Canis lupus familiaris: one gene and its partners. The main gene of each other region encodes a partner of the protein of the gene in region 3 in a complex. Links are inferred from orthologs where the notes say so. Each region holds a gene or a part of one and is shown on either strand. Other genes may lie near its edges. The genes, in order: CYFIP2, WASF2 and NCKAP1.

Evidence for each region.
Region 1: NCKAP1 (region 3) and CYFIP2 share a complex: the UniProt entries of both Homo sapiens proteins name them as parts of the WAVE1 complex. The link is inferred for Canis lupus familiaris from reciprocal best matches to the Homo sapiens genes NCKAP1 and CYFIP2.
Region 2: NCKAP1 (region 3) and WASF2 share a complex: the UniProt entries of both Homo sapiens proteins name them as parts of the WAVE2 complex. The link is inferred for Canis lupus familiaris from reciprocal best matches to the Homo sapiens genes NCKAP1 and WASF2.

Annotation. Positions count from the first base shown.
Region 1 is NC_049225.1:53,724,750-53,728,398, reverse strand, and holds part of CYFIP2 (cytoplasmic FMR1-interacting protein 2), read left to right. Parts: intron 1-153; coding exon 154-307; intron 308-1,298; coding exon 1,299-1,455; intron 1,456-1,989; coding exon 1,990-2,086; intron 2,087-3,649. UniProt on the Homo sapiens protein: Involved in T-cell adhesion and p53/TP53-dependent induction of apoptosis. Does not bind RNA. As component of the WAVE1 complex, required for BDNF-NTRK2 endocytic trafficking and signaling from early endosomes.
Region 2 is NC_049223.1:72,194,641-72,198,972, reverse strand, and holds the start of WASF2 (wiskott-Aldrich syndrome protein family member 2), read right to left. Parts: upstream 2,949-4,332; 5' UTR 2,864-2,948; exon of another isoform or gene 2,723-2,863; intron 1-2,722. UniProt on the Homo sapiens protein: Downstream effector molecule involved in the transmission of signals from tyrosine kinase receptors and small GTPases to the actin cytoskeleton. Promotes formation of actin filaments. Part of the WAVE complex that regulates lamellipodia formation.
Region 3 is NC_049257.1:26,348,548-26,352,196, forward strand, and holds part of NCKAP1 (nck-associated protein 1), read right to left. Parts: intron 3,544-3,649; coding exon 3,404-3,543; intron 2,550-3,403; coding exon 2,418-2,549; intron 205-2,417; coding exon 1-204. UniProt on the Homo sapiens protein: Part of the WAVE complex that regulates lamellipodia formation. The WAVE complex regulates actin filament reorganization via its interaction with the Arp2/3 complex. Actin remodeling activity is regulated by RAC1.

The DNA of each region.
Region 1 (3,649 bases), on a different chromosome or scaffold from region 3:
TTCTCCAACCCTAAACTGGTGCTTCCTTAAGAAGGGCTTTTTAAGAGCAGACATCTGCAGAAAAAAAGAAAAATATAAACACAGCACAAAGAAACCTTTACCCCAGGATAGAGGGCCAGCCCCTGACCTTCTCCTCCTACTTTCTCTTTCAAGCTGTACATGGTGCGGACCATGCTTGAATCGCTCATCGCAGACAAGAGTGGCTCCAAGAAGACATTGAGGAGCAGCCTTGATGGACCCATTGTCCTCGCCATAGAGGACTTCCACAAACAGTCCTTCTTCTTCACACACCTGCTCAATATCAGTGGTGAGTGACGCTATCCAGGCAGTGGGGAGAGGACGGTTGGGTGGGGGCAGGTCCCAGACCCACTAAGGCTGTTGGACCAAAAGTTGCAAAGAAATGTGGTCATCGGCCAGAAGGGCACGTTTCGCCACCGAGGTAAAAAATGCACACTTTCTGGTGGACTTGGAAAGGCCAGGCTCAGTTCAGCTATTCTGACTCAGCTAAATTTGTCTGGTAGACATTTGTGGTTTATTTGTCATGAAGTCCTTAGTAAAGGGGATTAAATCCAGCAACATACCCACAGATGCAACCAGGCATCTTAAGCCTTAGCTTTTAAGCAGCAGCTCTGTGCTGATTAGTCTTGTTGCTCATTGCAAAGGAGGCTTCCAAGCTGGACCCCAAGCCGTGTCCCCCAGTCCTGTTCTCCCATTAGCAGGACACCTCTGCAGGTGGGACAGGGCAGGGGGAAGGACAGCAGCCTCCAGAGACCCAGGAGTGGTAATGCATTTGTTGGTACTAGAACAGTAACCTTAACGAATCCAGACATCTCCATTAGAGCACAGACCAGGGCCCCTCAAGGCTTCTAAGTGGATAAAAACCAGAATTACTATGTACAAGGGGACGAGGAGCAGTGAAAAGCGGGCACTTGGGGAGCTGGCTTGACACTATGTTTGGATAGCAAGCACACTTTTTCCACTAAGATTGTGGGTCTTCAGGTTGGCCTTGTAGGAGGACGATGGAGATTATGGGGGCATCGAAAGCTTTAAAATGTCACTGCTCTCCTCCACCATGGGGCTGCTACTGTGAGTCTAACAGATACTGTTTTCTAAGTAGATATTAGACTGACCTTCAGGTAAAAGAGCAGGATCTACTGATTAGGTCATATTTATGAGTACCTGCTGTACTCCAGTATAGTGGTAGAAATAGCAAAAGCAATAAGAACCAAGTTAATAGGAACAAAGATCTTTTGGTGCTTCTTCTGTATAACCCACTGCTCTTTCCTTAATGCTTTCAGAAGCCCTGCAGCAATGTTGTGACCTCTCTCAGCTCTGGTTCCGAGAATTCTTCCTGGAGTTAACCATGGGCCGGCGAATCCAGTTCCCAATTGAGATGTCCATGCCCTGGATTCTAACAGACCATATCCTGGAAACCAAAGAACCTTCCATGATGGAGTAAGAGGCAGGATTGGGTCAGCAAGGAGGTTCCCAGGGTGCAGAGGGAGGGCAGTTTGCTAGGGAGCTCTGTTCTTTCCAGAACTTTCGAGATGAGACAGTGTGGCCCCACTAGGAAAAGCGCTCATGCCAAGGATCAGGTCATACCAGATTTGACTCAGCCTTGCAGATAGGCTCAGGATTATACCAGCCCAACTGCCCTTCCTGTGCTCTGTCAGTGTCAGGCAGCTATGCTTGGAAGATAGTCATCTCTGGGGACCAGGAAGCTAATATCCTTAACTGCCACCTGATTTCTTTTGGTCCCAGACTAATTGTTTCAGGCCTTGGATTTATTAACATCATGGACTTCTGATTTCTATAGGCAGACTGTAAAGTAAGGCATTCCGAAGGCAATTTGGAAACCTCAGAATGCTGGAAGGCTCCCTCATATTAACCCCAAGCTTATTCATGTTTTCACCCAAACCTTCATATTTCCCAATCCACTTGCTTTCAGATTGATTAGTAAGCTGCTGGTCTCTGCTTTTCTCTCTTCAGGTACGTCCTCTACCCTTTGGACCTGTACAATGACAGCGCCTACTATGCTCTGACCAAGTTTAAAAAGCAGTTCCTGTATGATGAGATTGAAGCTGAGGCAAGTGACCCGCATCTCCTTTTGTTCCTATAATCTTATTCCAACAATGTGGACTTTTTAAATCTGTAGCTCTTGGCACAAAGTGGGCTGTCTTAGTCCATTCAGGCTGCTATACCAAAAATCCACAGACTGGCTTATAAAAAATACTGTTGTAGAGGCTAGATGTCTAGATCAGGGCATCCTTCTGGGTCACAGACTTTTCATTGTATGCATAGTGGAAGGGGTGAGGGAGCTCTCTGTGGTCTTTTTAGAATTTTTTTTTTTAAGATTTTATTTGAGAGAGAGAGAAAAAAAAAAAAAAAAAAAAAAAAGCCAGACTCGGGGGCTTGATCCCACGACCCTGAGATCATGACCTGAGCCAAAATCAAAAAGTTTAACTGACTGAGCCCCTAGTTTCTCTCTTACAAGAGCCCTAATCGCATTCATGAAGAGTCTACTTTCATGACCTAATCACTTCCCAAAGGCCCCACAGCCTAATATTTTTGGGGGTTAGGATCTCAACATATGAATTTTGGGGGACACACATATTCAGACCATAGCAATGTGGGATCAGTGACTTGTTCTGGAGAATGATCTCTTTTTATGACTTTAAAAAAAAAATTGCAGTATAGTTGATGCCCAATGTTATATTAGTTTCAGGTGTACAACACAGTGATTCTACAATTCTGTACGTCATAACTGTGCTCACCAGAGGTGTAGCTACCATCTGTCCCCGTACAATGCTATTATAATAGCATTCACTATATGGAGAGTGATCTTAACAAATCATGATCATCAAAAAGGACCCAGACCAAGATGATGGTCTTTCTTTTTCAGATATATTAAGGGATAACAAATGGTAAAACTGCATGGGTAATATTAATATTCTAATGAATCTTTTATGGTTGGAACATTTTGTTAATAATAATAACAGCAATATCACCTATCAGTTATTATATATTCACCATTTGCTTTTAAAACAACTTTTTAAATAACCTTTACAGCAATTTAAGGAGGTATATACTATTAATCTGTTTTACAGATTAGTCTTAGACTTAAAGTGGTCAGTTATCATAATGCCAAGGTCACTCAGTGTAAAGTGTCACTTGGTAGAGTGGTAGGATTGAAGTAACCTTTATCTCAACTATTAAGCTGTTTATTATTAGTCACTCAATGGCTTTATTTCTGTAATGGTCAGGATAAGCTAGGTTATGCTGCAGTAACAAATAATTACAAATTCTTAGTACCTTGAAATCAAAGGTTTATTTCTCTTTTATGGGTTGGTTGTGGGCTCTGGTCCATGTAGTCTGCGAGTCAGGACCCACATGGAACATTCACTAATTGCCATGGCAGGAGGAAGTGTTACTGCTACTTCAAAACTTCCACCTGGAAATGACACATGTCATTGGTCAAAGCAAGTCACATGACTGCATCACCTTCACGGAGAGGCGCAAGGAAGTACAATCCTGCCACATGGAAGGACGAGGCCAATAGTAGTGATGGCTACTGAAATTTCTAAGTTTTGCCTCCTGGGAAATGGAATGATAGTCTGGGTTCTTCCTTAACTGCATGGGGCTATATAAA
Region 2 (4,332 bases), on a different chromosome or scaffold from region 3:
ATACCAGTTGGTGTGAACATTCTGACATTTTACTACACATGGGAATGTGTTTGATTACAAGGTGCTGACCCTGACCTCTCTGGGATGTTATATAACATAAAGTACATGTACTATATCCCTTTTCTAAAATCCCAAAAATTTTTTTAAAAATTAAAAAAAATAAAATCCCAAAAATTCTATATGCAAAAAATATCTAGTCCCAAGAACTGTTTCGTTTTTTGGGGTTTTTTTTGGCCCCAAGGTATTTTGATATGGTATGCTAAGATTAAGTCTTAAACAGGCTTATACTAAGTCTTACTAGTCTTATAACTAATAAAGCAAATGAAAATAGATCTTCACATACAATAAATTCAATGCCTTAACAACTATTCACATACACAATCCTGTAAAATGAAGCATCAAAAAGATTTTTAACAAATGTCAAAACTCAAGCACCATTACGTTTTTTCAAGTGACGGTGATATACATCACCCAGTATCTAAATCAATTCTTCTTAGGTTGAAATTCACTAATTTAAATCATAGTTAAGACAGACCAAAAGACTGCAATTGGTTACTGAGGAAAAGAATCAAGGGACGCCTGGGTAGCTCAGAGGCTGAGCGTCGGCCTTTGGCTCAGGGCGTGATCCCAGAGTCGCGGGATCGAGTCCCACTTCGGGCTTCCTGCATGGAGCCTGCTTCTCTCTCTGCCTGTGTCTCTAAGTCTCTCTCTCTCTTTCTCTGTGTCTCTCATGAATAAATAAATAATCTTAAAAAAAAAAGAAGAATCATCCACTGGTGAACAACAAACTCAGTAAAATGTTCTGATTTTAAGAAATTTATCTCAGGTTTCATACCTAAAATTTTTGCATTCTAGAATACAATTCCTCAACTTTGAACAAATTACAATGGACTTTTCCTGTGAAAGCGGGGCCTCAGACACGGACAGCAACAGGGATTGCTCCTAAGATATTTGAACTGCAAGAAGAGTTTCAAAGTTCTTTCCTTCCTTCCTCCTTCAGTTGCTGCTTTTCTGGTTTTAGAATTTCAAACAAAGAAATACATATTGGCTCCACTGCTAAGAAACGCCCTCTTTCTCAGCAACTTCCTCTTCCAATTTTCTTCCCCTATCATTGACACATGAGAACAATACACTCTGCCCGTCCTACCATTTTGATTAACCAAAAGCTGAGGCTTGAAAAAATTAAGGGCTACAATTTATAGTATCCAGCTACTAGTCTTTGACTCCAGGTCCAAAATCTTCACTCATCTAGAAGTCAGATAACAAGGAACACAAAGAAAGGAAGGAATATTATTCTTCATCAGAGGCAGGGTACTGAAACTTTCGTTCCAAGAATCGGAAGAAATTTGAACAAATGGAAAATTTCTCTCATCACAAGAAAATTTAGCTTTCTTAGGGAGGAGGAAAAGCTACTGACTGGGCTGGCACCACTCTGAACCAAGAGTCAAGTCTAAACACCAACAGTTGGTGAACTTCTACAGGTCACTTGGGTCAGCATCCAAAATGAGTTCTTTGAGGTTTTGACCTTTTACACTTCACAGTAACTTCTACAATTTAGAAATGGTCCTTTCTAACTTACAAACCGAAGAAAAGGAATGCACTTATAATTAGCAATCCGGAGATCAAGGTCCAGCCTGTCTCCATGCCATAAGTCAACTCAAGTGTCTGGGACCAGACCCCTCCCCCCAGTTGTGACAAAGCAAACTTCTTTTAAGTGGACAATGACTTCCCCCTTGTCTGGTGATTCTCAAAGGAAATCACCTTATGGTTGGTAAGCTCTGTACCTCACCATGTGACCCTGGACAAGTTACTTAACTCCCCTGAAACTCAGTTTCCTTATGTGTAAGTTCTCAACAGCCGCTGTAAAAATTCAGTAAGAACATAAGCCCAAATAAGCACTGGCACATAGTAGGAGCAGCATAAACGCTCCCCCTCCTATTCCTAACCCACCAAGAATTCTTTTGGGCCTAAATTTCAATCATTGTCCCAAGAAGCCCCAAGGATGCTATCCTCTCTTCTGATGCACTAGTGTATAAAACTTTGCCATCTCAGAGGGTCTAGGATCCTAGAGGATCAAGACAATCGGGAGTCCACCTCATCACAGTCTGGGGTCCATCCAGAGCTTTCACGGAAGAGCCCCTCTGGCCAACTCTCCTCCTGACCCTGCAGAACCATCCAGTACACATATATACGCGCACACACGTACACACAGTCCTCTCCACCACTCCTCCTGACCTAGCAGGCCAGAGGTCTCAAAGAGCACTTCAATTCCTTCACGGCCCAGAGATGGAAACTGGGGAAGAACTTGCCCGAGATCTCGGAGAACATCAGAGATCCAACTCATGTACAACTGCCTGCAAAGCCTTCGTTCTACAAATAGGGAAACTGAGGCCCAGAGAGGGAAGTGACTTGCCCAAGGTCACACAGCGAGTTAGTGGCAACGCCAGGTCAGGTTGAGGGCACTTTCCAAGCCTAGCAGATTTGCGGGCCCCCTCCAAGTCTCCGAGGGGATCTCCAGGACACCTCACCCCTGCGGAGGGGAGTGTACAGTAAGAGGCCACCCCGCGCTGACCGCTCGCCCGGCCACTGCCCGTCAGCGGCGGGAGGCGCGCCACCGACTCCCCGGGGACCCCGCGAGGCTCCGGGCAGGGGGTAGGCGGTGGCGGCGCGGCCGGGCCCGGCGCCTCACGGCGGGGCCCGCCCGCGGGGACTTGTTGCTCACCTGGTCGCGCGCGGCCGCCCTCAGAGATAGAGGGGCCGACCAGCCGCCCTTCTCCGCACGGGGTCTGTTCCCGCGGGCCGCCTCCCGGGACGCCGCACAGCCAGACCCCCCTCAGCGCGCTACGCCCCCAGCCGCGCTCACCCGGCCCGCGTCCGCCATTACGCGATTCCCCGCCCTGGGACGCAGCCACACCCCGCCAAAGGCCCTGATTGGCTCCCTGCCCCACCCTCCTGGGGCTTTCGGGCATTCCATTGGCCTGAGTCGAGTGCCAGTTAAATAGCTACGCAAAAGACGTACTCCCGGGCAGCGCCTGGGGAGCTCCACCCGAGCTACTTCCGCAATCGGAGTAAACAGCGGGGGGGCAAACCAAGTGAAGTGGGGGTGGAGATGAAGCGGGATCAACTCCTAAATTCAGGATAGGAAAATCCCACCGAAGAAAGTGGGAAAACTCGTACAAAGTGTATTGAAAGATGGGTTCTTCTCGGAAGAGTTCAAAGAACCAGGATTTTTGGTGTAAAAAAGAGGGCTAAACCTCTGAACTTTCTGTGGACACCCCTCAAGTTGCAGGTAGTTTTGTCCCTTCTCCCCCGGTCTCAGGTCCGACTGAAAGGAGGGTGGGGAGCGTGAGTCAGAGGCTCCTGCCCGCCGCTAAACGGTTCTTCCGGGGCGAGGTCTGGGGTTTGGGACCGGGAGCTGGTTCTGAGAGGCCAGCGTGAGGTGAGCAGGACCCTGGTTCGGGCGCCACCTCATTCTGCGACCTCAAACAACTTCCTGGACTTACCTGGGTCTCAGTTTGTCCTTCCGCAAAATAGGAGCAGTCATGTCTGCCTCCTGTCCTGGCATATTTGTTGAGGCCACGTGCCTGAGTTGGGTGCATGTTCGGTTTTTGGGGTTTTTTTGTTGTTGTTTTTTTTTTTTTTAATTCTAAAAGGCTGCGGCTGGATATCAATGTGACAAACTCACAAGTTAGCGATAATCTCTCATTTAGTTCTCTACAGCTACTTTGTAAGGCGGAGACTTCCCTCCTTTTGCAGGAGAGAAAATTGAAAACTCCACGACTTAACCTAAGTCACCCAGGGAATTTGAAACAACCCTAGGAGTCAAGCCTGTATCTTTTGTCTTCCATTTCTGTATTTCTCCCCACTCCCCACCCCCCAGGCTTGGTGTCCCCTGAGAAAGACTTTCCAACACCAACCCTTTAGCATTTCAGGGGCCAGGCCAGTCCCCATTTCTTTGGTCACCATAGGCCGCAGCTGTTTCCAGGGTCCTAAGAATCAGGACGTGAGTAGGGGATGACAGGTGGGTCAGCAACCCAGACAGAATCCCAAACAAGGACACAGAGAGGCAGTGACACATTGAGGGCCCTCAGCAGGGCAGCCTCCATGCCAAGACTTAAATCCAGGTCTCTCTGCTCTCAGAACAGGGCTCTTTTCATTGCAGGATTGTTTTTCCCAGAAGGGCTGCCTTGGCTGTAATTCCTATTCCTTTTCCCTCTCTGGAAAGGAAGGAAGCCAAGATGGGAGTGGGAGGGGAGCAGCCTAAGACTTTAGAAGGGCAGAGACCACCAAGTGTGTGGTGCTGAAAGAGCCTCAGTGCTGGCTGAGTCAGTG
Region 3 (3,649 bases):
CTTGTGATGGTTGGTTCTCCATGACTGTCTAAATGTTGTGTTTGTTGAAGAAGAACGTTGTTAAACACTCTTGTAATGTCAATTTGCACATAGTTTTCTATGGACTGTAGTACAGTCATATATGCTCTTACACTTGTTAGAAGCTCTGATGGTTTTGCAATTTCCTGTGTGGCTTGATTATACATAGTCATTCCAACAATTGACCTGTTGGGGGTGAATAAAAGAACTGACTTTTCCATTTATTAAGCAGGCCATTTAACCTACTGGTAGCAAGAACATTAATTTTAAAGACAATTTGTTACAAAGCCATGAAATTACTATCATTATCTCCAAAAAAAATGAACACCTAAAAGCTACAATAAAGTAGAAATATGATTTTAAAAATTCTAAGGACATCAATATTAAAAATGATTTAAGGATAAAGAGGGCTTAAAAAAATTCCTTAACAAGATACACTGTCTATAGCAAGTACAATGGATTATTTAATCCACAGCTCAAATTTATCTGGCACTCTAACACACCAGTAAGCTTTATACCGATCATTCTCATATTTAATAACTCTACTATGTAGTTATTATCACCACCATTTCACAGATTTAAACACCACCACCACCACTACCTAAGGCTCAGAACTCAAGTAAACTGAATAAGGTCACTTTGTTTGGAAGTAGGGGGTCTAGGGTTTGAGTCCACATCTGCCTGACAGTGCTGCCACTCAACAAAATGCACAACAGTCAAACAAGGCAACAAAAAACCTCCCATGTTGTTTTTTAATCATTTGCAGCACACAAAACACAGTTCTGTTATATTTATACCCCAATGAACTATAAGCCTGAAAGGAAACACAAATTTTGAAAATACTTTCCTACCTGTTCTTTTCCTATGTTGGCCACCCCATCTTACCATCTTTAAAACTCTGAGCTTTGGATCTGTAAAGATCTTAAACTTGTGTTTGTAAGGATAAATCCTTAAAGACAACATCAAATTCCATCAATAGAAACAAACCCCAGAAGATCAACTCAAGGCAATAACTGCTATCCTTGCATATAACCCCTCAAGTTCCAAGACTGTACTCAAGTGATCAGCAAAAATCAACAAACTAATGCAACCTATTGTTTTGGCATGAAAATCTTTCCCAGGTAAACAAGTTTACAGCCTTGCTTTGATTCTGATAACTAAGTAGATGTTTTGTCAAAAGAACATCTGTTTCTCTATGGATTAACAGACCAGACTACTTACAGAAGGAAAACAAGGGGGGTGTAAAGTCAACCCTATCTTCCACCCACCATCCTCTCATTCCCACCGAGTTGAGAATAATAAATACCAGAGTGCATAATGTCCCTTTGGTTTAAAAACTATTCTAGGTTTCACTGTCAGAATGCCTGCCTTACTAAAGGATAGCAAAAGACAGTCTTTGTTTAACATCTCACTAGGCAACTGATGACTTAACACACAATTTAGTACCCACTTACATATTCTCCTATTTTGTTCTCTAATTGTTGTAGCCTTCTCACAAACTATAGCTCTAAGCTTTATACTATTTCATTACTACTTACAGGACCTAACACAATGTCAAGCACATGGTATAAATACTACTTGTTAACGACCACAAAACTGAAAAATCTTCAGCTAAATTTTGTTTTATAAATTGATGTTCAAAGAAAAACTTCTCAAATCAATCAATATTTTCTTGAATAAATACATGTGTAACTTTAGAAAAAAGCTGAAGCAACATTTATAAAACTGAAAGGTTTCTGATATCACATGCAATATGACTTCAAGAAACATATATAAGACTTATAGAACTCTAATTAGGGGTGCCTCAAGAGTCTAGAATTCTACTGACCTAAGAGCATACATGTGAACTCAGAAAAAAACAAGATATCATCTAGTCCTGATGGTTTCAAACATTTGACTGTGACCGACTTATAAGATATGTATGTGGCATCATGACTGGGTACATATATACATATAAGTGAAAAATTTCATGAAGCAGTATTTATACTTACTACATGCAGTGGATGATTTTTTCTATTCTTGTTTCTTTTCCTTCCCTGCCTCTTCTTTCTTTTTTTAAATGTTTACTACAACCTTCTACATTGATTTCATGACCCGACTTGGTTGCTACCTACCAGCTGAAATATACTGATTCGCTTCAATCTTCTCATTTTACTTATAGGGAATCTAAGGCTCACAGAATTAACTGGCTTGTCCGGTGTTAAAACTGGTTAATAACAAGTATGGGACAAGAATCTGGGTAACTTAAGTGATTCCTAGTTCACCACTCTCTATACTTCCCCATTCATTATTCTTGATACTATATCAGTTCTACTACTACTTTTCCTCGTAACAAGGATATGAAGTACATAACAAATTCATTAACTGAACCAACAAAAAAGTTTGTTATTCTTTCTTACTTTGTAAAGCGGATTTCCAGATGAGAAGTCAAATATTCTCGTGGGGTAAAAGTATGTTCCCAAACCACCATGTTTGGTACATAATTTATAGAGAAACACAACTCAGAAAGTGCAGTGTGCAATTTATCAAGGCTGAAAAAATATTAATGAACAGTAAATGAAATGTTCAATGTTTCATCATAAAAATACAAAATTACTTTTATAAATGTATCAGATCTCATTTGGGGATAATAATTCCAGAATTCAGTATTTTTCTTCCTAAATTGACAAGTTCAAAATCTTTAAGGATATCACTAACATGAGAGCAGTTTTCTAAAGACAGTATCACTCATTTGTTTCTCCATTCAGATGACAATTACATTGATTTAATATACAAGAAAGTTTATTACATGCTCATAGACAATCTTGCTGTACTTTCTGTATTGGAGGACGAAAGTTGTCTACAAAATGGCAAACAGCTTGCTCAACATAAAAAAAGCCAAGAAGTAAGAAATTTACTTTAAACAAAACAAATGTTCATCCATTATTGTCCACCAATGCCTACCCTCCAAAAACACAATCCTTAATATCTAGTCTGATATACGTACTATAAAAATGATTTATGTTCTAATACAACAATATGCCAAAATAAAGTCTCAGATTACCTGCTTTTTAATAAATGGAAAATTATGGATTACTTATAGTGTATCCTCCCAATTTTTAGACAGATTTTTGGCCTTTTGCATTCATTATATATAGACAAATATTACCTATTAAATGAATTTTCTTTAAATCCAAAATTTTCAAAAATCCAAAATCTGTATTTTGGAAATAAGCACTAATTATTCAAATACACAAAGGTAAAATAATAGTAATAATAATGATGATACTTAATGACAAGAAATGAAGAATTTACAACTATGAGCATTCCCTCAGTACTAATGCCATACAAAAAGTGAAAAACTTCTACTTGTAACAAAAAGATACAATAAAATTGGATGGCTTACTTGGTCACTACCAGCCTGTTTTTCCTCATACTCTCAACTCCTGGCTTTTCCCTTTCAGGTTCCCCTTTCTTACCAGTCTGTTTTTTTGACTTCTTATTCACTGCTTGACTAATGGTTTTGGCACAATGCTTGGGCAACAACTAAATTTAAAAAGAAATTAAATCTTATATTACACCAATTATTTTGAAAAAACATTAACTATTTAAGCAAATCTCAGCTGAATCCAGACAAGGTAGCAAATAGCAT